Cricetulus griseus: one gene and its partners. The protein of the gene in region 5 interacts with the protein of the main gene of each other region in a pairwise test. Links are inferred from orthologs where the notes say so. Each region holds a gene or a part of one and is shown on either strand. Other genes may lie near its edges. The genes, in order: Ptdss1, Ndufb6, Lat, Cacfd1, Creb3, Stx7 and P4ha2.

Region 1 (3,500 bases), on a different chromosome or scaffold from region 5:
ATTTTTTTTCTCAGGCTAGCTTATAAAGTCAGCAGAGCAGGATATGGGGAGGGGTAGAATGGGTTGTTTGTGAGCCAGGTGTTAGTGTAGGCAGGATATTAGGAAGCCACAAAGAGGATGTTTGGCAGGATAAAGAGTTCATGAGTAAGAGGTCCAGGAAGGGGTTGCCTAGGTGAGTGAGCCTGTGGGTGGAGGACTGGGTCAAGTTGTTTCTTTTCTTGAGCTGAGGTTCTAAGGAGCTGCTATGTAAAGGTTAATATACAACTATGTGGCCAGCCAAGAATGGCCTAGGATCTCCTGCCAAGCCCTGAGATTTGGCTCCCAACACCTCCTTATGCTGGGAAGACACATAAGGAATGTGGATGAAGGGCCTGACCTGCTTTGCCACTGTCTTCTACCTCTCTCCTTCTGGAAGGAAAGGTCTGGAAATTTGTTATCTATGTCATTGACACTGAGCATCCAGTCTAAACACAAAAGTCCTCAGTAAAAAACCTCTGTGGAATTATACTACCCACCAGGTGTTTAAATGGCTTGGGTTTCGGCTTAACTGGGCTAGTCGGAGGGCTGGCAGACCTTGTTCCTGTGTTGACAAAGCTGATCTACACCATCTTTGAACCTAAATCTATTCACATGCAAGATAGATTGTTGATGACAGGAGTCATTTGAATGTGTGATTCCCAGGATTAAACTCATGAAGAGTTAGACATCACTGTTACCACAAACTCTGGGGAGAAATAAATGACTTTGGTGAGCTCAAGAACATGAAACATGAGCCCTTTTATAATGACACCCTCTGGGGAGACAGAATGGGAGGGAATAGTATCCTTGCCCCATGTACATTCTTCCTGGGTGCTTCCAGGTCATATCTTTAATTCCTGTTAACTTCTTTTGACACCCTTCACAAACTTAGCCCCCTCTTAGCTCAGCAGCACCCTGAAGCCCCCCTCCCCCCAGCTTCCAGTATACTCCTGTGACCTAGGCTTCCACTAGGAAGGGTCCACTCCATTCTGAGGAGTTGCTAGAATATCGTCAGTGCAGTTTTTCCTTTTTCCCTCTTTGTTACCCCTGGATTTTCACGGTTTCCATTCTTTTCTTCCAGGGACATCCATACCACCACAGGGAAGATCAAACGTGCTGTGTTACAGTTCACCCCTGCTAGCTGGACTTACGTCAGGTGGTTTGACCCTAAGTCTTCCTTTCAGAGAGTGGCTGGGGTATACCTTTTCATGATCATCTGGCAGGTAATGCCCATTCTAAGGGGTGGGTGGGGGCAAAACATGATTCTTCCTGGAGGCTAGAATTAATGGTAGATTACATTTCACGTCAGCTGGACACTTTGGAAGAGAATTTGTAGCTGGCATATAGGGTAATGAAAATCTAGGTTACTGTCTGAGGAGTTGCTTCAGTGTGGAGACATTTTAAAACTGGATTCTCTGAATTACAAATTAGGAACTGATTTCCTGGGAAAGGTCATATTTAGCACCCATCACCCAGTGAAGTAGGTGTAACACTGTTTTGAAGAATATTTTCAAAACCAAAGGAAATATGTGAAGGTTCTTTTTTTTTTTAAATTTAATTTGTAATTTTAGTTTTTGCAGTGCAGGGTATAGAATTCATAGTGTCCAGAGAATGTCCTGGAACTCATCCTCAACAGATGCTGGGGAAGTTGTTTATAAAATTGAGACAATAAGTGGGTTGGCATTGAGTTTTGTCTTTTCCTTAATTAGAAGGAAGCATGACCGGGTTTTCTAGGGTCTTGCACCCTGAATACTTTCTTATATTCCTAATTCACTCTCTGGTATACAAAATTGTATCTCAGCCTTCCCCAGTTTGTATAATGTTCAGAAAGCTTTCTCAGCTGTGGAAATGGGACCCATGGATTATGTGAATCTTGTAGAAAATTGGGGGAGAGAAGCATTCCAGGTAGAAGAAATCTCAGTAGTCACTGGGGAAGGATTCTCATATCTCTGGTTTTGGAGACAGACTTTTTGTTTTGTTTTGTTTTCTTCCTGTCCCCAGGGGTTGTCACAGCTTCTGGAGACTCACCATGGGAAAACACATGTTGCTTAAAAGTTCTTGCAGAATCATCAAACATAAAGTTTTATGACCTTCCTACGTTCACTGTATTGAACATGTGCATACACCACACATAAAATAAGAATATAAATAAACGGTAATTTCAAAAAGTTAAAATATGGTGGGAAAGGTCAGTGCATATCACTTTTAAGAGTGAAAAATCTTGTTCACACATGGAAAGCAATTCCTTTCCTGATAGACAGAGTTTATATTTACAGAAGTACAAGGGAGTAAATCACTACTGTGGTTTGCAGAAGTCACTCTGCCTCCTTACTTGTGAGGTCCGTATCTGAAGATTCAACCAACCACAAATAAGAATACTCTCAAAAAAAAAAAAAAATCCTTACAAAGTGGGAGTGGCGGCACACACGTATAATCCTGGCACTCAGGAGAGTGAGACAAGAGGGTTTAATGCAAGTTCAGTACCAGGTCAGCCAGCACTGCAGAGCAAGACCCTGTCTCAAAACGCCGCCGGCAAAAGTTCTGTCTCTGCCCTGAACACACACACTACATGCCTCTGGTAGTCAGTTCTCAGATGGACCTCAAACATCTTTAGGTCAGTTGCTGATCTGTCTATAGTTGGGCTTTAGACTGGCCTGAGCTCCATAAGGCTATAGAAGTACTGATTTGTACCATCTGTCCTGACTGTCCCACATCAGGTCACAGAGAGGAGCCAAGGGACAGAAATGCAAAACAGGAAATGTTTCAAATAGCTGATGACCTTCCCACCACTCCAGTCATATATACACACGCACACACACGCACAGCGACCTGCTCCCAGTTGGTCAGTAGCTATGTATTGTCTGTTACTACTTTATCAATCCCTGGGAGACCCCATATGTTTTCTGAGAATGCTTTGGACATACTGGTTACTCTTAGCTCTAGAAAGCCTGTTTAAGGAATGTATGCTCATGATGTAATGTGGCACAGGGTGACTGGTTTCTCTTTTCTTCAGTTGACTGAGCTGAATACCTTCTTCTTGAAGCACATCTTTGTTTTCCAAGCCAGCCACCCCTTAAGCTGGTGTAGAATTCTCTTCATCGGCTGCATTACAGCTCCTACAGTGAGGTAATTCTGTCCAGCCCCGCTGCCAATTGCTGAAGAAGTGTGCTTGCTTTGTGTTTTCATCCCTAACATAAGGGCTGTCACATCAACTAACAGATTTTCTGTGAAAATGTTATTCTAAGTAACTGTCCAGAATATCAAGAATGTGTTTTGATCTGAGACCTCAGTACAACAGTGAGAGTTTTTAAAAGAAAGCAGTCACTTAGTGGCGTTCCCCTAGAACTACCCTTGTTTTCAACAACTATGCAGTCTGTCCCTGCTCGTCTTCTTACATCCTGTTACAAAATATTAAAGGTGACACTAGGTTTCCTAAAATGAGATTATTGGTAAGTAGAAAAGTCTGTGTGCAAAATATATTA
Region 2 (4,214 bases), about 2.3 Mb from region 5:
ATATTTAGTATCACTACTACTCACCTTGCTTTTGGATAAAAGGTAGCATACCATATACTCTTCTTTCTAATGGGTGTAGGTGCTTTCATTTATTTATTTGCCTTAACAACAGATTGTAGGGGTCACTCCACAGTTGTGAATAGAGAGCTTAGCTATACAATGGCTGTAGCATTCCAGTGCTTTACAGTACCATAAGGTTTTCCACTAATCCCCTATTGAGGAATCTGGGAGGTGATTTCCAAGGTTTTACAAATTGTGTCATGGTGAATATTCATGCATACCCCTGCAAATTTTTACAATCATATCTTTGGGACATCTTACAAGTGGGACTGTTGGATCAAAGAGTGAACGGGCCTAGGTAATACTCCCAAATAAAGCGTTCTTTGTTTCAGCAGTACAGACGAGGGAGGAAACTTAAATACTTGCTCAAGATCACTTTGAGGGGTTACAAAAGGGCTAGGAGCTGAACTTGTTTTTTTTTTTAATTTCTTTTGTTTAAATTTAAATTAGAAACAAGCTTCTTTTACATGTTAATCTCAGTTCCCTCTCCCTCCCCTCTTCCCCTGCCCTATCCCAACCCTTCTTCAAAGTCTGTAGGAGCTGAATTTGTATGCCATTGTCTCTAGGTAAGGAAGGGGGAGAATTCAAGGGGGCGGGGCAGAAGTTCTATAAACATGCACTAGTCCTTCCGAACCCCTCCCCTGTTGATATCCTGGCTTCTCCCTCTCCCCGGGTCCATGTCAGGCCTCTCCTGGCCTGAGCCTTCTCCTTAGGGAACCTTTCCTGGTCGCAGGGCCTCTCTAATCCTAGGGTTTTCTCCCCGCCCCGGGATTGCTCTTCTCCAGGAGACCTTCCCTCACTCCAGGATCTATCTTTGACAGGTGATCATTCCTCACTGACAGCTCAAAGGCTGTCAAAGGTTGCATGGCTGCATAGTGCATGTGTTAAGCAGCTGCATAAGGACTTCTGCATGCAGAGCTGGGTCAACTGCAGCTCCATGACTCCAGTTTCAACGGCCCCAACTGCTGAGCCTCATTCTAACCCTCTCCCTTTCCCTTTTTAAGCAAGTGCCTCCCGCCTGTCCTCTTTCCTTCCATTTCTGTTCCCGATCGGTTAACACCTACCCCTCCCTTCGCTCCCTTTCCCATTAAACTCCATGTGGGTTTGGTGGATCGTGTTTCATCGCCGGAAGCTGCAGCAAAGAACAACATCCCCTACAAGTTCTTTCTTCCCTGAACTAAAGCCCCAGGACCTCTCATACTTTCTATACCACACCCACTTCCCGCCCTGAGGGACCTTCAAAAAAACTTGCTCTTAATCCGGGGTCTTTAGAACCAGGGTCGGCGAAAGGGCTTTTGCGCATGTGCAGATCCTGACTTCCGGGAAGGAGTCCCCCGACTCCCCAGCCGTGTTTGGGTGTGACGTCATCACAACGCGCGGTCCCAGGTGCCTTCAAGGTCGCTTCGAGGAGCGCGTAAGTGACCGGCGGGTTTCAGGTGCACGCCGAGTCTCTTCGGCAGGCTCGCCGGGGACATGACGGGGTACACACCGGATGAGAAGCTGCGGCTGCAGCAGCTGCGGGTGCTGAGAAGGCAATGGCTGAAGGACCAGGAACTGAGCCCCCGGGAGCCCGTGTTGCCACCGCGCAAGACGTGGCCCCTGGAGACATTCTGGAATAACTTTCTGCGGGACGGGGCCCTGTGGAAGAAAGTGGTGAGTGATGAGCCACACAGGCTCAGTTCCCACGCCGGGTCGCAGCCCGGCCACCCTCCCACTCCGCGGCTCCTCTCAGTGCCATCAGGGCCCGACCCTCCCAGTTCATGCCCCGGAGGGCCCTCAGGGACAGTCAGTCCGGGGACTCAGGTTTGCAGAGACTGTCACATTAGGAGAGTCCTGGGTAGGGATCTGGAGTCTGGGAGTGGGTTGGTTTTAGGGGGGATGGTCCCGTTTGGCTGTCAGGTGTACTGAGAAGTCAGACCTTAGGTTTTAAACTCATGTGGTTCTTTGGATTGTAGATACCTTGTTAATTTTGGCAGTCACTGGTTGATAACTTAGCTAGTGATTTAAGAAATGAATCATTTGTTGAATTTTGTCTTACCTTGCTTTGAATGATTAATTTTTTCTTCTATAATTATCTGCTATAATACATAAATTCTAGGTTGTCTTTCTTCTGAAAGGATGTGTTTTAGTCAAATTGGATGCCATAGAAAAGCCCCCCCCCACCCCAACAGTGGAGTAATGTTTATCCCTAGAGCACAAATGGACTTTGGGAGCCCATTCCCTATGGAGGGATACTACTGTAGCCCAGATACAGGAAGGAGGGCCTGGGTCCTCCCCCAAATGATGTGACAGACTTTGGAGGGCCTCACTATCCCTGGGGAGGGGTTGGGGTGGGTTGGGGAGTTGGTGGGGAGCATGGGAGGATGGGAGGGCAAGGGAATGGGGGGATGGATATACAAATAAGAGTGCTTCTAAAAGGAAAAAAGAAAAAAAAATTCCACTACAAAAAAAAGAAAGGAAGGAAGGAAGGAAGGAAGGAAGAAAGAAAAGAAAAGCTCCCCTCCCCTTTTTTGTCTGTTGACTTTACTTTTAAAAAGGTGTACCAGGAGAGAGTTCAGTGAGTTTAGAACACCCATGTTTTAGTAAGAAGCCTCACTTTTTTCTTGAACATGAATGCCGTATATCTTGCAGAATGCTATTTATCCTAAACCTTGTCTTGAAGTCTTGCAGAATGTTTCTTATCCTAAGTCTCATTCTCTGGAGTCTATGGATGTCCCAAAGGAAGTCTCAGAGGTAGTGAAAATATTGGAGTAAGTAGTTTAGCACCAATTTGTCAGGAAATACGTTCCATTTAGAAGTTTGTAAAGTAATTATCACACTCTTTGTTGGTGGTAGGATTTTTTTTGGGGGGTTGGTTTTGCTTTTTGTTCCACACACATTGAAAAATGAGGTATCTTATGCTAGTATAGCAAGTAGCACATGCTGGTAATCACAGCAACTCCAGAGATTGAGTAAGGACTGCTGCTGAGTGTTCAAGGTCGGGCTGGGCTACATGGTGAGCCAAGTCAGCCTTGGCTAAAGAGAGGAACCCTGTGCTGTTATTTTGTTTAAGTTTAAAAATATTTTTTTAAAAAAGGCGCAAGACGAGATGTGACAATGAGAGATGCATTAACCATAGTTTATTACAGGTGGGGGAGGGGGAAAGATGAGAGAGAGAGAGAGAGAGAGAGAGAGAGAGAGAGAGAGAGAGAGGTAGAAGAGGAAGAGAGAGAGAGCAGGGAAGAGGTAAGAGACAGTAAAGAGAAGAGAGAGAAGAGAGTTAGTGGTCGACCACCAGAAACAGAGAGAGTGGAGAGATGTGGGCTCAGGCTTAAAAGGGGGAGCTCGAGCATGAGCAGAGTCCCTACGAAGCCCTGTAATTAATGACATATCCATGACGTGGCCCTTTGAGCTGCCTAGGTATCTGCCTGAACCTTTCATTCTGTCTCAAAATAAATTAATAAAAAGTAAAAATGAGGGGTGGATGAGATAGAGAGATGACTCAGTACTTAAGACCACTTGGCTTTTGCAGAGGACCCAATTTGGGTTCCCAGCACCCACAGGGTGGCTGAAAACTTGTCTATAATTCTAGTTCCGGGAGATCCAATGCTTGGTTCTGTCTGATCTCCAAGAGCACCAGGCACACTCATGGCACACATGCATACATGCAGACAAAACACTAATATACATAAATAAATCCAAAATTTTAAAAGAGGATATTTGCTTATTTTGTGTGCTGTGTTTTCCCCCCACAGATCTTTAAGACATACCGGGCCAGTCTCTTCACTGTTTCTCATGTAATTATACCTCTGTGGTTTATTCACTATTACGTCAAATATCACGTAGCTGTAAGTATGTGGTAAATGTGTGCTTTTCAGAATTTGTTTTTAATATCTTACAATAATTTCCTGTGGCTGTGCTCTACTCAGGGGATAATACGCCAATTTAAGCCAATTTTGAAGTTTTTTGGATTCTTTGGGGTAAAAGGTTTAATGGAACTTAAGTACACATATACAACTAGTTTCAAAACTTGAAATTCTAAAGGTTACTCTTATGTACAACTAGTTTCTAACTTGATATGGTCAGAGTGTCTAAACCTAGAGTCCTGGCAGGAGGTGGGAAGATGATTTCTGCTGCCCTTTTAGCACAGGTCAGGTATGGCCTATCATTCAAAA
Region 3 (4,184 bases), on a different chromosome or scaffold from region 5:
GAAACAACCTCCAACCAAAGACCTTACAGATACATTAGACGATATCACTTCCATGAAACAAGAACAGGGTACTTAATAAAAAGGACACCAAGCTGGGCAGTGGTGGCGCACGCCTTTAATCCCAGCACTCGGGAGGCAGAGGCAGGTGGATCACTGTGAGTTCGCGACCAGCCTGGTCTACAAGAGCTAGTTCCAGGACAGCCTCCAAAGCCACAGGGAAACCCTGTCTCGAAAAACCAAAAATAAATAAATAAATAAATAAAAAAGAACACCAAGAATCGTCCCTCTCCCTCCCCAAAAAAGAGTTTTCCGACAAAAGAAAAGAATTTTTCTTTTCTTTTTGTTTGTGGTAGTGCTGTTTTGGTTTTTGAGACAGGGTCTCACTGTATTGTCCAGGCTAGCCTCAAAGCCAACCCTCCTACCTAGATCCCTCGTGCCAGGGTTAAAGGCGCATGCCTACACATCCAGCTGAGAAATACGATTTCAGTGGAAAGGTTAAAGAAGAGTCAGGGAATTTCTTAGACAACAGATAAAATGATAAGACAAAGAGGGAGGGAAGGCAAAAGGAAAAGCAAGGTGATCAGAAGTGAGGAGCAGGAAGTCCAAGATCTGAGGGAGGAAATGGAAGGGTGGCGATCGCAGAAATGAGAGGGAAGAGAGGCATAGCCGGCGGCACATGGCGGAAGGAGGTAGTCAGAGACCCTAACTCACTGGAGAAGGCGCTGTCTCGGAGACCAGGGTTGCTGGGCACGGGAGCAGAGGAGACGACAGGAATGGCGGCAGGGGTGCTGTCAGGAAGCACCTCTCTGGAAGGAAGGGATGAGGAGGTAAGAAAGGGCACCAACTTCCACTCCCACCTCCCACCCCCCACTCACAGGTAGCCCTCATTGGGGTAGTCATCCTCATCTTCATCTTCAGCCGCATTCTCACAGGCTGGCTCTATGAGGAATGAGAGAGAAGTCAACGTGACCTGGGATAGACCCAGCCTCCCCACCCCACCCAGTACCCCAGACCCTAGACCCACCCTGGTTCTCGTAGCTCGCCACACTGTTGGCTTCAAAGAGAGAGGGAGAGGAAGATGGAGTCAGCTGAGGCTGCACACCCTCTCCCCAGCCCTCCAGCCCTGTACGCCCTTACCATCATCCGAATCCTGCCGGGAAGACGGCATCTGATGGGAACCTCCAAGGGGCTGTGGGGATCTCCTGGAAGTCAAGGGTCAGGGACCAGGTCTAAGTAGGAATCTGGGGGCAAGAGGGGTTACAACAGGGAAAAAGCCACCCCCCCATCCTAAAAGGTAAGGAGGCACAATGGATCAGAGGGAGGGAGCTGAGGGGTACTCACGGAATGGGGAGCAGGTCTGGCTGCCTCAGGGGTGGGAAGGAAGTAACAAGAGGATAGGAAGTGGCAGTTGTTCGGGGGAAGCCTGTTTCTGAGGACATAGAACCAAGCTTGAGGGAATTACTCCAGACAACCCCCCTGCGGGTGACAAGGCCTCTAAGGACAGATGTACCCCTAAAAAACATGTGCTAAACAGGCATGGGGGCTCCAACTTTCCCCCAACCCAGGCAATAGTCCTGCAGGCATCTTAGCGGGACAAAGGCACACTCCCAAGAACCCTCAAAGAAGGCCAAGGACACTGAACTCACGAGATGGTTTGATGAGGATGCTCCGTGGATAAAAACTGGCAGGAAAGAGGCAGCTTAGGTACAGGGCCAAGAGGGCCCCAGCCCCAAGCCCTTCATCAGAACAAAGGGAAGACACACAGGGAAATGGGACTGCACACTCACCTCTCTGTGGAAGCACTGTCATAGGAGACTGGAAGAGAGAGAGCCAATGAGGCAGGATCAGAATGCACTGGGAGCAAAGACAGTCCCATCCCGTCCCGTCCCGTCCCGTCCCGTCCCGTCCCCCCCAGGCAGGACTGAAGTATGGACAATTAGAGGAAGCCGGGGGCTGGGGAAGGCATGGGGATCCAATGGTGTGCCTAGCATCTAGTACTCCACAGCTCCCCACTTACCTGGCAGCTCACGGCAGCGCACACACAGGGCAGCCAGGAGCGTGACCAGGACAGGCAGCAGCAGGAGGCCCAGCCCCATGGGGCTCAGAGTGTCTGCTTCCATCTGCAGAGCACCTGGCCCAGGCCCTGCTGCACTGCAGCCCCTCTAGGCAGAGTGGCAGCAGGGGTGTGGGACTGAGTGGGCCCCAGCCTGGGATCCAGTGGCAAGCAGCTGTGTCCTCCTTTGGGGTTCAATGACCCCCACTTCCTTGCTAGACTGAGTTGAGCTCAGTGCTGGAAGAGGCTAGTCCTAAAGCCTGAGCTGGGGCCTGTGCCCCAGCTACCAGCAGCACGATCCCTGTGCCCAGCTGTACCTGCCCCTTTCTTGCTCCCCGCTTGCCTGCCTCTCCTCCTCACCACCCGCGTGCGACAGGAAGCTGTGGTGAGGGCAGGAAATCATCAGGCTCCTCAGCCGGCTGCGCCTGCCCCCTGCCCACTCACCCCCACCCAGCTGTGGGAAGGGGGAGGAGGCAGAGGGACCTTGTGAAGGAAAGGTCTGAGGCTGCAGGATGAGGCAACTGCTCCACTAGGAAGGCAGACACATGCCAACCAGGCCAGCTGTGGCCTCCCCATCTCTGAGCACAAGAACTCTAATGAGGTTCTGCCAGGGACTGTGTGGAACAAGGGCAGCACTGCCTCCACCTCCCAGGCTTGCTTCTGGGAGAACAACTTCCAGGGGACCACAGTGACTCACGGTCACACCGAACCAACTCACTCAGAAAAGAGCAGTCCTCCTTCTAGATGGCCCAAGCGCAGAAGACAGGGACTTACCCACAGGGTGACCCGACTGCCCCTGGTAAGTAAGTCCTGAGACCACAGACATTCCCTGAAGCCAATGGCACCCGCAGAGAGACAAGCAGCCAGTCATAGTCTGCTTACAAATTTTATTCCATTACAAATAGCACCAAACCCCTTGGGCTGCCCTAATAGACAGGACAACCCCCACTTCTGGAACCCCATCTCTTCCCTGGGCTGCCCATGTAGTGTTTGGGAGCTGGGACATATCCCAGGGCTTCTTCCTTGGACCTGGACCTGGTGATGGCTTCTGCCTGGGCACCTCCCAGGGTGGGCCCAGGGCCAGCTGTGGTGAACCTGTGGCTGGGTGAGCAACAGCTCCTCAGATGAGCACGCTGGACACAGGGACCCGGGTAGAACGGCCTCGCTGAGGCACCACAATCCGGTCATCTGAGGGTCCTGTCTCATGCAACAGACCTGTGGGGAAGGGGTCGGAGCCAAGGCCAGTCACATAAAAGCCATCAAGGGGACAGGAGACAAACAGGCAGAGGGGCATAGACGAGACAGCAGCAAGAGTCCTCAGAACTGTGTATAGACAGAAAGCCTGATGATACACTTTAAGACAGACTGAAAGCTGAGTGGGATGGTACTGGGAAGCTGGTACTATCAACCCTGGCAGGTGGCTGGCAGCATGGGCCTGGGTGGATGGGACAGCTGTGGACTAAGAGATGTGGGGCGCATACCTGTGAGCCAACAGATGGACAGACTGACAGGTGATACTGTGAATATGGGGTGACAGTGGCCCTCACTGACCCTGCATGTGGAGTTGAGCCCGTCGGCGGTCATCCTCAATGAACATGGCAGTGCCCAGGAAGGCCGCACCACCCAGTGCACCAACAAAAGCGCAGAGCATGAGCGAGAACTGCAGGGCCCGGAACTCAGACAAGAAGGAAGCAGGCCAGCTCCGTCGGAGGCGGTCAGAAATCTGCTAGGACAAAAAGAGTCAGAGACCCAGGGACGGAGAGGCCTGAACACCAAGAAAATGAAAAATGGAGCCTAGAAAGAGGAATGGTTTGAATCACAGGGTGAGACCCACAGCCCCACAGGTAAAACCTTTACCCAGCTTCCTTCCCAACCACCAGAGGCGCTAAGGGTGAAAGAGCCACAGGTGGCTATTGCCTCAGTAGGTCAGACTATCCCATCCACCAGCCATCTGCCAGAGTAGGGAGTACCAGGTCCCGATACCATCCCAGCCCAATCACGGGACAGTACTCACTAGACCAATGAGGTAAGGGCTCCCAGCATCACCTAGCAAATGGGACAGCACGATCTGGAAGGCCTCAGCAGTGGAGCGTCGAGTTGGGATCACCACATACTGGGGGGAAGGGGAGAT
Region 4 (3,500 bases), on a different chromosome or scaffold from region 5:
GCATCATGGTAGCTTTAGCAGACAGATGTTCACCAGACCTGATTGACATTAGCTAACAAATTAAGACAAAGGAAGTATGTCCAGCTGATTAAATGTGTTTAACATTAAAAGGAATGGGACTGGAGAGATGGCTCAGTGGTTAGGAGCACTGTCTGCTCTTACAGTGGTCCTAAGTTCAATTCCCAGCAACCACATGGTGGCTCACAGCCATCTGTAATAAGAACGGTGCCCTCTTCTGGCGTGCAGTCATATATGCAGGAGGAACACTATGCATAATAAGAAAAAAAAGAGAAAAGAACTGTTTTTTAAAAACAAAACATTAAAAGGAATGCCATAGTCTTTCTGGTAATACTGAAAATGATACCACAGCAAGTCAAAAAAGCAGGTTCAAACTTTATAAGCAGGTTTGGCAGTTATAAGCATGTTAAAGATGAGCTTCAAAGTGTCTGGATTCAGACTGGAGAGACATATGCCAAAAACATGAATAGGTAGTGAGGTCTGGAGTGATCATTTTCTACTTTACAAATGACTTTACTGTCAGCATCATGATGATACATCTTAAAAACTCAAAGAAAGCCAGGTATGGTGACTCACGCCTTTAATCCCAGCACTCAGGCGGCAGAGACAGATGAATCTCTGTGAGCTTAAGGCCATCCAGATCTACAAAATGAGCGCATTTCAAATACAAAAGGGGAAAAAGGAAGGGATGAGGACATGGCTTAGTTGGGAAGGTGCCTACTGCACATTCCTGAGAGCCTGTTTGGATCCCCATAAAAACCCAAGTACATCGGGGCTGGTGAGGTAGAGACAGGTGGATTCCTAAGAGCTCACTGGCCAGGCAGTCCAGCCAAATTGATGAGCTCCAGGTTCAGTGAGAGACCCTATCTTTAAAAACAAATGGAAGTTATCTGAGGGAAATACCTGATGTCCAAATCTGGCTTCCACATTCATGTGCACCCACATACATGTTCGCATGCACATGTTCGCATGTGTGCATACACACAAAACATGCTACACTGACTGATTAGAACTTTGTGATCCTGTAAGCCCGTTGGACTCAGACACATCAGAAAACTGCCAGCAAGCACATGACAGACTCTTGTATATTTTCACTGATGAAGCTGCTGAGCCTCCACCAAGCTTTGATATAACCTGATCTTAAAGATAAATTGTGATAAATATCATTGCCTAGATGAGTTCTCGTGCAAAAGCCCTTCTCTAGAGGCTTCTGTGTATTCAATTTATCTTGGAAGTGACGCAGTCTTATGACACACTGAACTTGTCAGAACCAGAAGGAGAAAAAGCATATTTAGAGGAAAATGGTGTTTTCTGTTCTGCAAGCTCATGTCTGGGCATCTAGGTTGGCCACACTCCTTTCAAGGCTGCACAATGTCCACACAGATGTACTACAACCTGTCTGGCAAATCCCAGCTGCTTCCCTGTTCCCCTACACACATACTGCTGCAGACACTACAGATCTTAAAACACTTGTATAGCCGTAGCTGCCATCTGAGCTCCAGAAGGCAGATATTGGGTCCCATTCTTTAGCAACTGATGTTGGATGGGCCAGTGGCTGTGTCCACAGCTGTCAAATAAAAATTTCTGCAGGAGCTGGGCGTTGGTGGCGCACGCCTTTAATCCCAGCACTCGGGAGGCAGAAGCAGGCAGATCTCTGTGAGTTTGAGACCACCCTGGTCTACAAGAGCTAGTTCCAGGATAGGTTCCAAAGCTACACAGAGAAATCCCATCTCAAAAAAACAAAAACCAAAAACAACAACAACAAAAAACTTCTGCAGGAAAGAAAGACCTCTACCTGTTTCTGCCCCACCCACCCTACCAATACCTGCTTTAACCAGTAAAAGTTTGGAGAACCATGCCATAGGGCTGGCCCAGCAGCCCTCACCCGCAGTAGAAAACAGCTTTCTGCCAGGAGCGTAGCCGGTCCACCTTCTCAGCTACTGTATTTGCAAACTCCACGAACTGGCAGCAGAAGGGCGCCTCGCATAACAATAGGATGAAGGCGTTCATGCTACAGGGCAAAGGCAGAAAGGACAATGATAGTTGACAACCTGGGGCTGCAAAAGCCATCATGCTAGTGGCTCAAGGAACACCACCCTCCCACAGGCCCTCTGCTTCTGTAAGCACTAGGCAGTACAAGGTACCAGTTTCTGCCAAGCAGCTCAACACCCCACCCCCCCACCCCCCCACCCCACCCCACTGCTGCAGCAGCATCTCTAACTGCCCAAGCATCCAGGAGGAAGATCCTGCTAACTCTGAAATGAAGAACTAAGACCCTTGCACCTCAATGTTATCTTGAGCTAGCAGCATGTTCATCCGCAGAACTTAGTCACAATGCCAATTGTTAATAATATCTTCATAGTCACAACACTACCATTGAGGGCAGGGTGCTCCAGCAGAAGTGCAAGGGCTGGCTGCATCCAGTTGCTAAGGACCACTCATGACATAAGGCCTGAGACCATGTGGGTCAGGCAGAAAGATGCACGATAGTGGAGCTTCCACTCAGGAGACTTCAATCCTTGCCCAGTTGCTGGGAACAGATAAGTTGCTGGTGCTGAATGCCTTTGCTCCCATAGGTGGGTAATTGTCTGACCAGACAACTGGGCCTTTGCCAGCCCCACATTTGGAAGGAAAGTGCCTATAACAGTTTGATTAACAGACACAGCTCTTGTAACTCTAGACTACTGCCTACCTCCCCACCCACCACGGCCACCAGTCTTCCAAATACCAGCTCACTGTTCCACTAATCTGTACACAACCTCTACAGTCCCCATCCTTGCCACCTTGGACCAGCACAGGCCTCTGTACACATCACCACAAGACCAAAATCACCCTGGCCTGAGGCCTAAGGCAGGACCTGTACCCTGCCCCAAATGCCTGTGTAGCCCCTTGTAGGCACTAACAAATGCTAATGCACAGTGCTTCCCATGTGCCTTGAGCAGCCCTTACTCTGGTGCCCCTTTTCCTGGGATCCAGCTGCCAGAAGAGGGTGATAAGGAGCTCACCTATGGATGCTACAGCCACTAGTTCCATCTGCATCTGCCCCCCCCCCCCCAACTAGCCCTGCTCACCGCCCCACAGATGACCACCCTCTTCTCTCCTCTTAGACCCTCAACTCTGACCTTACACACCATGGCTCTGGAGCTCCCAGAAGGAACAGCCCATGGTAGTAGACAAGGAGTCTACAGCGTCTAGCTGGATAGATGCTCAACAACTCTTATGACCTTGTACCCAATAAAGGCTCAGCCAGCTGTCCCCCTGGCCCATTATTAGGAACCCTAAATGTGGCGGGAGCAGAAAGGGGGATGTGCCCTGCATCACAGACCTCAAACCCCACCAGGGCAGGCCATTCACAGATACTCACATCATCCACACACCGGCTGCGATATTCAGAGGGTGGATGGTGACACAGTTGAAGAGTCCAGAGATGGCACAGGCTTCAAAGCAAAAGACATGGGCAGGAGTTAGTGGAGTATGGATTA
Region 5 (2,753 bases):
TGACTTCTACCTCTCCCCACAGGGTCTGACTCGGGAAGGTTTCCGGACAGCTGAGGGCTGTTACCGCACTGTATGGGAACGCCTGGGCCTGGCTTTCCAGACCCCAGAGGCATACTGCCAGCAGCAAGTGTTCCGCTCACTAGCCTACATGAGGCCGCTGAGCATCTGGGCCATGCAGCTGGCCCTGCAACAGCAGCAGCATAAAAAGGGCAAAAGGCCAGTTGTCACACAGGGCACAAGACTAAGCACAGAGCCTGAACATGAACCAAAGAAATCTTGGACAAACCTAAGCCCAGAGTGATCCCCCTGAACTGTGGAAGCCCAGCCAATACACTGGTCTTTCCTCCTCCCTCCCACCACTCCTGCAGCCCTGAGCCACTAGGACAATCAAGCCCCTTCCCTTCTTGCTACCCAACTGTGCCAGTAAAAAGGGGCCAAGGAACCACTTATTTATTTCTTACCCTCCCCGTTCCTTCCGTGGATGAAATATTCAAGGCCAGTAAATTTCTCCAAGTCTATTCATGGAACAACAGATATACATGAGTATAAATAAAAGACCATAAAACTGTTAAGTATGGTGTGTTTGAGCTCCCAGGCATCCTAATAGGGCACAGGAGCAGAGGCCAGCTCTTTCCCCCATTCCTTTTTATTTGAATACTGACAGGAATCCTCAGGCTGAGGGTACCCCGCATCTCAAATCTAACATGAATGCCTGCCCAGCAAGACAACAGAAGAAGGGCTGTGGGTAGGCAGCCACTCCCCTTTCTTTGAAAGATTTGCCTTCAGGGGATGGTTGGGGCCTGAGAAGGGGGTCTCTGAGGAAAGATCAAGGAATGTCCAGTGCAGGGGTGGCTCTGCCTGAGGCATGCAGTGTAGGAGGCAGGAAGCGTTGCTGGAGGCCTGGAGCATCTGCTCTGAGCTACCCAGCAGCTGGCTTGTGCTGTCCTTCAGTGACTTTGACCGCTGGGCAGGCAGCTTCTCCTGATGACAGTCCTCACTGGGAAGGGCACGAAGCTGACGGTGCAACACTGAAGAGACAAAGCCTTGTCAAGTGACAAGACAGAAGCCACCCTTTACCACAGCCCATGCCTTAAAGGTCCTCAGCCTCTTACCAACATACTCAGCTGGCACACTCCCCCTTGTGTCAGAGGAGTACATAGCAGGTACAAGAAGAAGGCAGAAAGAAAACAGTAGGACCTAGAACACGGAAAAAAGAGATGAAGGGCTCTGGGTCATACACCCCATCTCTGCCAAGAAAATGATCTGCCGTCCCATTCTCCTCACCAGAACACACGTGCTGCCGCTGCTGGTTTTGTTTGCTATCTCAATAACCATGGCCTGAAGTTTCTTCAGTTGATCTAGAAGGGACCTAAGGGAAGAGAGAGGAAACAGTGGTGAGCATGCCCTGGTCTAGCACTGAGTCACAATGAAACTCACCCTACCACCCTCCTCCCCACCCCCATTTAAGCCACTCTCTCCACTGGTGCAGTGGATCCAATCTCTTAACTTCCTTGCCATCCCCCCTCCCCCCCCAAATGACTTCTTTGTGGACCTGTGGTTCCTTATTGAAACAAAAAATAAAAACTTCCCTGCCTTGACTAAAGCTCCTTTGCCAATACCTTCCAGAATTCTCTTAATACGTGATCAACTATGCATGTAATCCCCACCAGGTACTGTGTTCTCTACTTTCTGGGCCAACGCAAACACAAACACTGTCTTCTCTCCACCTAGAATGCTTTCCCCACTCAGCCCCTCCTACCCCCATTGCAACTGCTCTGATGTTGACTACCTCCATTCAGTCTTTTTCTTTTTTTTTTTTTTAAGATTTTATTTATTTATTATGTATACAGCATTCTGCTTCCGTGTATATCTGCACACCAGAAGAGGGCACCAGATCTCATAATAGATGGTTGTGGGCCACCTTGTGGTTGCTGGGAATTGAACTCAGAACCTCTAGAAGAGCAGTCAGTGCTCTTAACCTCTGAGCCATCTCTCCAGCCCCTCCATTCAGTCTTTTCTTACTTCCTCTTTGTCTTGGTACTTAATTTCTTCTTAGCTACTTGGAAATTTATTCCCCATTACTCTGAGCTTGAGACCTGGCAAAGGCCAACCACCAGATTTTTGAATTTAGGAGCAATCCAGTTAGAAGTCAAGGGTGGAATAGTGGAAAGAGTGAGACAGCATTAAACTAATGACAGGACTGGAGAGATAGTTCAGTGGTTAAGAGCACTGACTGCTCTTGCAGAGGACACAGGTTCATTTCCCAGCACCCACATGGCGGCTCACAACTGTCTGTAACTCCAGTTCCAGAGAACCCGACAAACACACAGACATACATGCTGTCAAAACACCAATGCACATAAAAGTAAAAAATCATTAAAAAGATTTTAAAAATTAATGACTATAAATGGTTGCTTACAGATTCTGTTCCTCTAGAATTCGTATTTTGTTCTGCAGCTCCTGGTTCTGGGCTGTGTATTTCAAGACCCTGGAGGATAACATGGATATCAAAATATTGCCTGTGTCTTCCCTTCAAAAGCTTAAGGCTTCCAACTTGTTCCCCATGCTCTTCCTTTCCTACCTGCTCTCCAACCCTCCCACATACACCTTCTTCTTCTTGCGGCTTTCTTGAGCAGCTCTCTTGTTTCGAATCTTTCTCCGTATCCGTTTGAGAACCTGTTCCTCCACCTAAGAGAAGATGGGAAAAAGGTCATCCAAGGTGTATTATTTTTTATATACCCATACATATATAT
Region 6 (3,500 bases), about 140 Mb from region 5:
GCAATGGTATTTAGAAAAACCTTCAGTATTAGAAAATATCAGATCGAATTCAAAAGAACCTCCTTCCCCCAATAAAAATGACAAAGTATGGGACCATCCTTTACACCACTGCCTTTAAAATAACAATAGAAAGTGACCTCGAGAATCTGCCTACAGAACCCAGACGACGTCGTGCAGCGGTCCACTCTCACCACTCAGCCTTTCAGTCCCCATACGATGAGACAGATAATCACAAGTCCAACGACGAGGACAAGAATGATGATGCAGAGGGTTTTTCTGGATTTGCGCTGCAGAAGCAAGAACAAGATAGAGTGGCACATTCAGTGAGGTGACTCCACAGCAGCTGAAAGCAACTCAAGTTCACTTCAGTCAGTTTGCAGCCCTTGTATTTGGGCTTGCGATTTTTCTTCTTAAAAACCTCTACAGCACATGCGTCATTAACAGTTGACAGCCATGACATCTGTCTAGTATCTGAAGCATGAGTTGCATTTCATAGATACATATGGACTCTGCATGTTCACGAGATTGATTCCCTGGAGAAATAGATTTATATCTATTGTAAGGTCTCTACCACATGATGACATAGTATGTAATGATTAATGACACTCCCAGCTAATACAGTTTCCAGAAACTTTGAAGAGACCTCCCTAGTACAAGGTCCTTTGTCACTTCAGGCTGGAGTACCACTGATAAGAAAGAAAAGCGGTGAGTAGGGCAGTGGGGGCACACACCTTTAATGCCAGCATTTGGGATGCAGAAGCAGGTGGATCTCTGAGTTCAAGGTCAGCCTGGTCTACACAGTGAGTTTCAGGACAGCCAGGGCTACATAGAGAAACTGTCTTAAAAATCAAAAATAAGGGGCTGGAGAGATGGCTCAGAGGTTAAGAGCACTGACTGCTCTTCCAGAGGTCCTGAGTTCAATTCCCAGAAACCACATGGTGGCTCACAACCATCCGTAATGAGATCTGGTGCCCTCTTCTGGCCTGGAGGCATACATGCAGACAGAATACTGTACACATGAATAAAAAAATCTTAAAAAAAAAAAAGAGAGAGAGAAGCAGATTGATTGGTAAACTGATTGATTGATTGGTAGGGTTACATGTGTCATGGTACAAGTGTGGAGGTCGGAGAAGTATTTGCAGGTCTACAGAGCAAGTTCCAGGATAGCCAGGGCTACATAAAGAAACAGTCTCAAAAATAAAAACAAACAAAAAAAATCAAAAAGAAAAAGAAAAAGAAAAAGGGGAGGATGGGAAACGAGGGCTTTCGAAAGGCTACCAAACAGGTCTCTCCGTATGTCGGGCTATCACTGTCCCACCAGAGACCACCATGGGACAGAGGGAGCACAGTTTACAGACAGCACTAGAAAAACCTCAATTGTTAAATTCACATATTTTTTTTCCTTCGATGGAAGAAACTGACACTGTTTTCCCTCCGGAAAGATGGGAATGGATATGTCAATAGTTGGTCATCTTTGCTATTCTGCAAAGCCGGCCCTCATCGAATCATCCAGAATTCTGAGCAACGTCTGTCAGTCAATAGAACCCATCTTTATGTGTATCACAAACCCTTCCTCCCTCAACCCCAGACGCTCTTTGGGAGGCCAGTACGGGACTGATCCAGCCCCCTGATCATGGATGCCAATGGGGAGGCCCCTGCACTCCTGGGAGCCTCTGGAGGTGGACTGGCGTTTTGCCCTGGTGGGTGGGGGGGACTTCGAGAGCCCATCCCACTTGAAGGGATGCGCTCTGTCTCTGGACACATGGGGAGGGGCCTAGGCCCAGCACAGGAAGATTTGGTGGATTTGGTGGAGCCCCGGTTGGGGGCCCTACCCTGCCTGGGGAGTGGCGGGTGGATGGGGTGGAGGGGGTAGGTTGGAGGTGGGGTAGAAGGAATGGGGGTGAGGGGAGGGAGAGGGAGAGGGGAAGTACATGTGAAACAAGCCTGTTCCCTAACTTGAATTAATAATAATAATAATAATAATAATAATAATAATAATAATAATAATGAAAAGAAAAAAAAACCCTTCCTCCCTATGCCCAGACTCCTGAGCACTGCTTCCCAGTCAATAGAACTCATTCTTGTGTGAAGGTCACAGGTGCTTTGCTAAAGAGATGTACTTTGATGTAGCCATGCCTGAAGCTTTGGTGTAATAATTCCCACATGGAAATTTTTTTTCCAAAGTTTTACTGTGTTTAAGTACGTGAAAACTTCTGGAATATCAGACTCCAGAAGTTTTTGATCCAGCACCGGCTAAGCTGTGCTGACCCAAGTTTTATTTGTACCTCACCTGGATGGTTTTCCTGCCTTCTGTGATGCTTGCTTCCCACAACAGGAAAAGTGTGGAGTAGTAGTCTCTTGCAAGCTTCATGATTTCCTATCTCTGTAGATTAATATGAGAATACACATGCCCAAACCAATTTTAAATTGACTGGCATGCTTCTGATCCTCCCCTCCCACAGAATTCTAAAGTCAGCCTATGCAACCACTTCAAGTCAAAACTCTAAGTTAAAAGAAAACGGATTACAGTTAATGTTACCTGATAATCTGCTGCTCTTGACAGCTGCTGGTTCGCCTGTTGAACGTGTACCTCTGCACTTTCTACATTGGCTTCTATGCTGTCTTTAAAATAAAATGCACATACACATAGAATTGTTAAACATGAACTGATGAGCCAATTATAAACCACCAAAATTCATTCAGCAGACATGTAAGGAAAACACGCAATCCAGATAATATACAAATGCATAAGCAAATGGCCTTAATCATATCTACATCTACTGGACACAACAAAAGTGCTGTCAATTTGCAAATGTCAGATCAGTGTCAGCACAAGCTCCTGTCAGTTTCTAACCCCAGAGCTTGCACTGCCTCAAGACCAATGTGCAAAACACATCAACCCTCTTCTCCCTAGGCCCAAAGACATTCGACATCACATAGAAAAAGTCTACCTCAAAGAACACTTCTCAAAGAACACTCTCCTCAGGACCAAGGAGGGGTCCAAACACATCCAGTCCTTTGTACGTTTATTTACTCAAACTACCCTGTTAGTTCTTAGTGTTCCTCGGCTTTGTATTTGATTCTGTTAAATACAACACACTTCAAATGATTCACATAAACACAGTGCTTTACCTACTTTGCATGGGACAGTGGACAACTTCACAGTAAGAATTTGATAATTGTATTCTGTTTTCATTAACCTAACTGCCGTGAAGTGTAGTCCCCACCCAGGACCCACAGGCCTTCACAGCAAACTGTAGACGCTATGCCTTTGATTTCAGAGGATCCCAATGAAACAGAAAGGAAGTGGTTTCTTGCTTGAAAGAGCTGCTGCAGGTAAACTGCAGGAAACTTGCTCCTACTGCCCAGAACACACCAGCAGGACTTACCAATCACATCTCCTTGCTCATGAATCATCATTCCCAAGTCTTTAAAGATTTCATTAATGTCCAAAATATCAGCCTAGGACCAAAAAAGCACACATTATACATTATTAGAAA
Region 7 (3,333 bases), on a different chromosome or scaffold from region 5:
GTGCCTTACAACCACCTGTAACTCCAGTTCCAGGTGATCAAAGCCCTCTTCTGGCCTCTGTGGGCACTAGGCATGCACATGGTACTTACAACATATATGCATACACATATGAAGGCAAACACTCATACATATAAATACATATCAAAAAAAAAAGAAAGAAAGAAGAAAACGCCTATCTTGACCCCATCTTGAATTCTCACCCACAGCCTGGGCCTTGCCTAGGCCCCTATGGTCAGCACTCTGTACTGTGCACAGAGTGCTGGATAGGAGCTCCCTGTAGCTTCCAACCTCAGGAGTACCGTCTTCCCTGGGTGGCCATTTTTCTGGCTCTACCTGCTCTAATCCGACCTCCACCTTCCCAGAATGCTACTCTGCCCTGCTTTCTCTGAAACTAAATTGCACTCTTATTTGAAGTGTTTTGTTTGTCTATGCTATAATAAAAATGGCCTATAGGGTAATAAGAACTATCTATAGCTAAGACGTTTCCCAATACGACACATACCAGCCTGACTGAAGGGGCACTCAGCAGGCTCATGATAAGGAAAATGAATAAACCCAGTGTCTTCCCTAGTGCTGGCATTCAAACCCAGTGACTCTCCAAGTCAGTCAGTCTCACTCGCCTCTCTCTCCAGATACACTAACCTTTGCCTGTTTCCTGACATTCCAAACTTGTCCCTTCCAGGCCCCCACACACCTTCTTTGCCAAAGTATGTTCCACAAATTTCCATTTAATTTTCAAGTCTCAACTGACATGCTATTTCCTAAATGAGGCCTTACTGAACCCCATGTCTGGGCAAATTCTTCGGTGTTTGTCTCCATGGTAACTAAATAACAATCTCTCCCATGCTTTAAGTGAGTCTCCCATGTCACAATGGAGACCACATAGGACCCTATTTAGCAGTGTATGTACATAGCAGTCTCCAGGATAATTAAAAGTTAAGGAGGAAAAAAAAAAAACAAGCTTAGTTTCTAAGTTCCTTGACTATGGTTCCTTGGAGTAGGCTATCACAGTGGGGAAGGGTAAAGGGACAGCCTATGGATGGGGGTGGGGGGCATCAGGAGGGAAGCTGGCTGGCTACCCAGCCTCTGAGGAAATAGAGGCAGTTTCAATCTAAAAGCGCATTCTGCCCCTGGGTCAGAGCCCACCGTGGCTCTCATTCCCAAAGCTCAGAGTAGACCTGCATCCATCAAAAAGGAAGCAGAACACGCCACAACAGACACTTGTTAAAGATAGGGGCTAAGGGAATCAGCCAACAAGAAGGACAGACGGACACTCCAGGACTCCACTTTGATGAGGTTATGTGGTCTCGGCAGGGTAGTGGTGAGAAAGGGACTCTGGAATTAATGTCCAATATAAATAGAGTTTCCATTTTATGAGGTGAGAAGAGTTATGGGAACAGATGGTAAGTGGTTCACATTGGGGATGGATTTAATAAATAATCACTGAAGCACACAGAAAATTGTTATAATGGCAATTTTTATATTATGTATATTTTACCACAGCTAAAAAAAAAATGTTGTGGGGAGTGTGAAAGAGTTAGGAGGTAGGAGAAGGGCAAGCACACAGATGGGAACAAAAGCCAACTCTATACTCTAGCCAAGAAGAGCCCTGAGGAACCACTATGCAGCAGCTGATGCTCTGAGCCCGGATGGGGTGGGATGCACAGGAGCTCTCTGGCCCCAGGGTCTCCGCAGGGCCCATCAGGCGCACGCATCATACTCACGTAGTTTAGGAATGTGGCCACACGATTCCCAGTCCCTAAACGCTTGAAAGCATCTTGCTCATCGCTCTATAAAATTAAGTGAGAGTGAACGAATGGGCCCAGCCCAGTACTTACATAGTTAAGAAACGTGGCTAACCTATTCCCCTCCGTTTTGAGGCCGCTGTCAAAAGGTCGCTGTAACAGACAACAACTTTTATCTAAGTTTGCAACTAACTTACCCGCCACCCAAAGGACTGGGACCAAAAGAGTCAGGGGATGGTAAGTGTGCCTTCTGTAGAATAGCAGGAACATGGGACAAGGCTACAAAGGGAACCCCGGCAAGAACACAGGGAGGGGGAATGAGGCCAGAAAAGTTTTCACAGGGCCCTAGAGAGATCTTTTGCCTTATTAGTGGGTCAAACACACCCCACATCAACAGGAAACAACCAGGCTCCACTGGGCTCTGCTTCATCAACAACAGAGTTTCTCCCTTTCGAGGTGGTAGATGGAAGAGGGATGACATGGAGCTAGCTGAAATGCTTCTAGAAGCTCCAACCTTCTCAAACCAGACACAGCCCTCCAAAAATACTCGTGATTGGGGCCTTACCCTAGAGAAGTCAAAGTGTGGTTCGTACTGCCCTCCCATTCCATAGTTTGCGACCTGGTGAGAGATTACAGCATTGAATTCGCCAGCAGCAACGCCCCACAGCAGCCCGACTCTCCTAGGCCTGAAGACAACCCCCAACCTCTGTATGTGTGTAGTATGTGTATGTGGTATATGTGTATGGTGGTGTGTGCACACGCCTGTGCAGAGGCCAGAGAAGGGTGCTATGTGTCCTGTTCTATCACGTTCTACCTTATTCCCTTGAGAAAATTAACCTGGAGTTAAGCTGTCACCCAGCAAGCCGTGGATGCTCTCCAAAATGCTGGGGTGGCAGTAAGATGGTTAGCCACACTCAGCTTTTTGTGTGGATGGTGGGAATGTGAACTCAAGGCTCATGCGAGTACACACTCACTCCGGAGATGGTGGTACTGTTTTTGGAGGGTGGAATCTTTGGGACCTAGCCAGCATAATTAGGCCACTGAGTGTGGGCCTAATTTTTGTCTGCTGTTGGTCCTGGCCAGCCCCAGCCCTCTAGTTTCTGATCCAGCAAGATGTGAACAAGCTGTGTTGCAAGCTCCTGCTGCCAAGCATCCCCGCCATGATGGACTGAAACTGTGAACCAAAGCAGAACTCTCCTCCATCAATTTGCTTCTTTTGGATGATCATCTGATTAGAAGAGTAACTAATGGAGTAGGTGAGCCTTCTCAGACAGCCTGGGAACCTTGGGAGACCACCTAGCCCTACAGAACCCCACCCAACTCCTCTGGCCCCAGGGACCAGCCTACCTGCAATAGTTCTGCAGTCTTCACTGTCAACCCTGTGATATGCTGCATCCGACGGTTGACTCGGGCCACAACAGGGTCATCATCCTCCTCTAGCCAGGAGCTGAGCAGAGAAGAGAGCAAAGGTGAAAGGCATGGGCAATGGGCAGGCTGAGATTAAGTCCTAGGATCCCTTCCCAGTCAAGGCCACCACTAATGGGGAGCACGGGGTAAATGCTGCGGAGAGAGGAGGTGGGGCAAGCAG

What was found.
Region 1: the proteins of Creb3 (region 5) and Ptdss1 interact in a two-hybrid assay, tested with the Homo sapiens proteins (2 studies listed by BioGRID and IntAct). The two-hybrid records come from large-scale screens. The link is inferred for Cricetulus griseus from reciprocal best matches to the Homo sapiens genes CREB3 and PTDSS1.
Region 2: the proteins of Creb3 (region 5) and Ndufb6 interact in a two-hybrid assay, tested with the Homo sapiens proteins (2 studies listed by BioGRID and IntAct). The two-hybrid records come from large-scale screens. The link is inferred for Cricetulus griseus from reciprocal best matches to the Homo sapiens genes CREB3 and NDUFB6.
Region 3: the proteins of Creb3 (region 5) and Lat interact in a two-hybrid assay, tested with the Homo sapiens proteins (2 studies listed by BioGRID and IntAct). The two-hybrid records come from large-scale screens. The link is inferred for Cricetulus griseus from reciprocal best matches to the Homo sapiens genes CREB3 and LAT.
Region 4: the proteins of Creb3 (region 5) and Cacfd1 interact in a two-hybrid assay, tested with the Homo sapiens proteins (2 studies listed by BioGRID and IntAct). The two-hybrid records come from large-scale screens. The link is inferred for Cricetulus griseus from reciprocal best matches to the Homo sapiens genes CREB3 and CACFD1.
Region 6: the proteins of Creb3 (region 5) and Stx7 interact in a two-hybrid assay, tested with the Homo sapiens proteins (2 studies listed by BioGRID and IntAct). The two-hybrid records come from large-scale screens. The link is inferred for Cricetulus griseus from reciprocal best matches to the Homo sapiens genes CREB3 and STX7.
Region 7: the proteins of Creb3 (region 5) and P4ha2 interact in a two-hybrid assay, tested with the Homo sapiens proteins (2 studies listed by BioGRID and IntAct). The two-hybrid records come from large-scale screens. The link is inferred for Cricetulus griseus from reciprocal best matches to the Homo sapiens genes CREB3 and P4HA2.

What each region holds. Positions count from the first base shown.
Region 1 is NC_048603.1:17,741,794-17,745,293, reverse strand, and holds part of Ptdss1 (phosphatidylserine synthase 1), read left to right. Parts: intron 1-1,099; coding exon 1,100-1,241; intron 1,242-3,031; coding exon 3,032-3,144; intron 3,145-3,500. UniProt on the Homo sapiens protein: Catalyzes a base-exchange reaction in which the polar head group of phosphatidylethanolamine (PE) or phosphatidylcholine (PC) is replaced by L-serine. Catalyzes mainly the conversion of phosphatidylcholine.
Region 2 is NC_048595.1:102,275,121-102,279,334, forward strand, and holds the start of Ndufb6 (NADH dehydrogenase [ubiquinone] 1 beta subcomplex subunit 6), read left to right. Parts: upstream 1-1,414; 5' UTR 1,415-1,533; coding exon 1,534-1,713; intron 1,714-3,794; coding exon 3,795-3,887; intron 3,888-4,214.
Region 3 is NC_048596.1:74,437,913-74,442,096, reverse strand, and holds the start of Lat (linker for activation of T-cells family member 1), read right to left. Parts: upstream 2,801-4,184; 5' UTR 2,121-2,800; coding exon 2,018-2,120; intron 1,816-2,017; coding exon 1,788-1,815; coding exon of another isoform or gene 1,682-1,787; coding exon 1,647-1,681; intron 1,430-1,646; coding exon 1,342-1,429; intron 1,203-1,341; coding exon 1,138-1,202; intron 1,055-1,137; coding exon 1,025-1,054; intron 940-1,024; coding exon 876-939; intron 807-875; coding exon 712-806; intron 1-711. Other genes in the region: Spns1 (protein spinster homolog 1), read right to left, coding at 3,174-3,268, 3,605-3,776, 4,068-4,166. UniProt on the Homo sapiens protein: Required for TCR (T-cell antigen receptor)- and pre-TCR-mediated signaling, both in mature T-cells and during their development.
Region 4 is NC_048599.1:138,693,550-138,697,049, reverse strand, and holds part of Cacfd1 (calcium channel flower homolog), read right to left. Parts: intron 3,456-3,500; coding exon 3,383-3,455; intron 2,030-3,382; coding exon 1,904-2,029; intron 1-1,903. UniProt on the Homo sapiens protein: Transmembrane protein which mediates synaptic endocytosis and fitness-based cell culling.
Region 5 is NC_048595.1:99,950,819-99,953,571, forward strand, and holds the end of Creb3 (cyclic AMP-responsive element-binding protein 3), read right to left. Parts: intron 2,689-2,753; coding exon 2,582-2,688; intron 2,489-2,581; coding exon 2,420-2,488; intron 1,370-2,419; coding exon 1,285-1,369; intron 1,198-1,284; coding exon 1,113-1,197; intron 1,029-1,112; coding exon 700-1,028; 3' UTR 501-699; downstream 1-500. Other genes in the region: Gba2 (non-lysosomal glucosylceramidase), read left to right, coding at 23-301. UniProt on the Homo sapiens protein: Endoplasmic reticulum (ER)-bound sequence-specific transcription factor that directly binds DNA and activates transcription. Plays a role in the unfolded protein response (UPR), promoting cell survival versus ER stress-induced apoptotic cell death.
Region 6 is NC_048595.1:243,395,353-243,398,852, reverse strand, and holds part of Stx7 (syntaxin-7), read right to left. Parts: intron 3,463-3,500; coding exon 3,390-3,462; intron 2,623-3,389; coding exon 2,540-2,622; intron 288-2,539; coding exon 195-287; 3' UTR 1-194. UniProt on the Homo sapiens protein: May be involved in protein trafficking from the plasma membrane to the early endosome (EE) as well as in homotypic fusion of endocytic organelles. Mediates the endocytic trafficking from early endosomes to late endosomes and lysosomes.
Region 7 is NC_048600.1:68,293,680-68,297,012, reverse strand, and holds part of P4ha2 (prolyl 4-hydroxylase subunit alpha-2), read right to left. Parts: intron 3,193-3,333; coding exon 3,093-3,192; intron 2,365-3,092; coding exon 2,311-2,364; intron 1,899-2,310; coding exon 1,839-1,898; intron 1,791-1,838; coding exon 1,725-1,790; intron 1-1,724. UniProt on the Homo sapiens protein: Catalyzes the post-translational formation of 4-hydroxyproline in -Xaa-Pro-Gly- sequences in collagens and other proteins.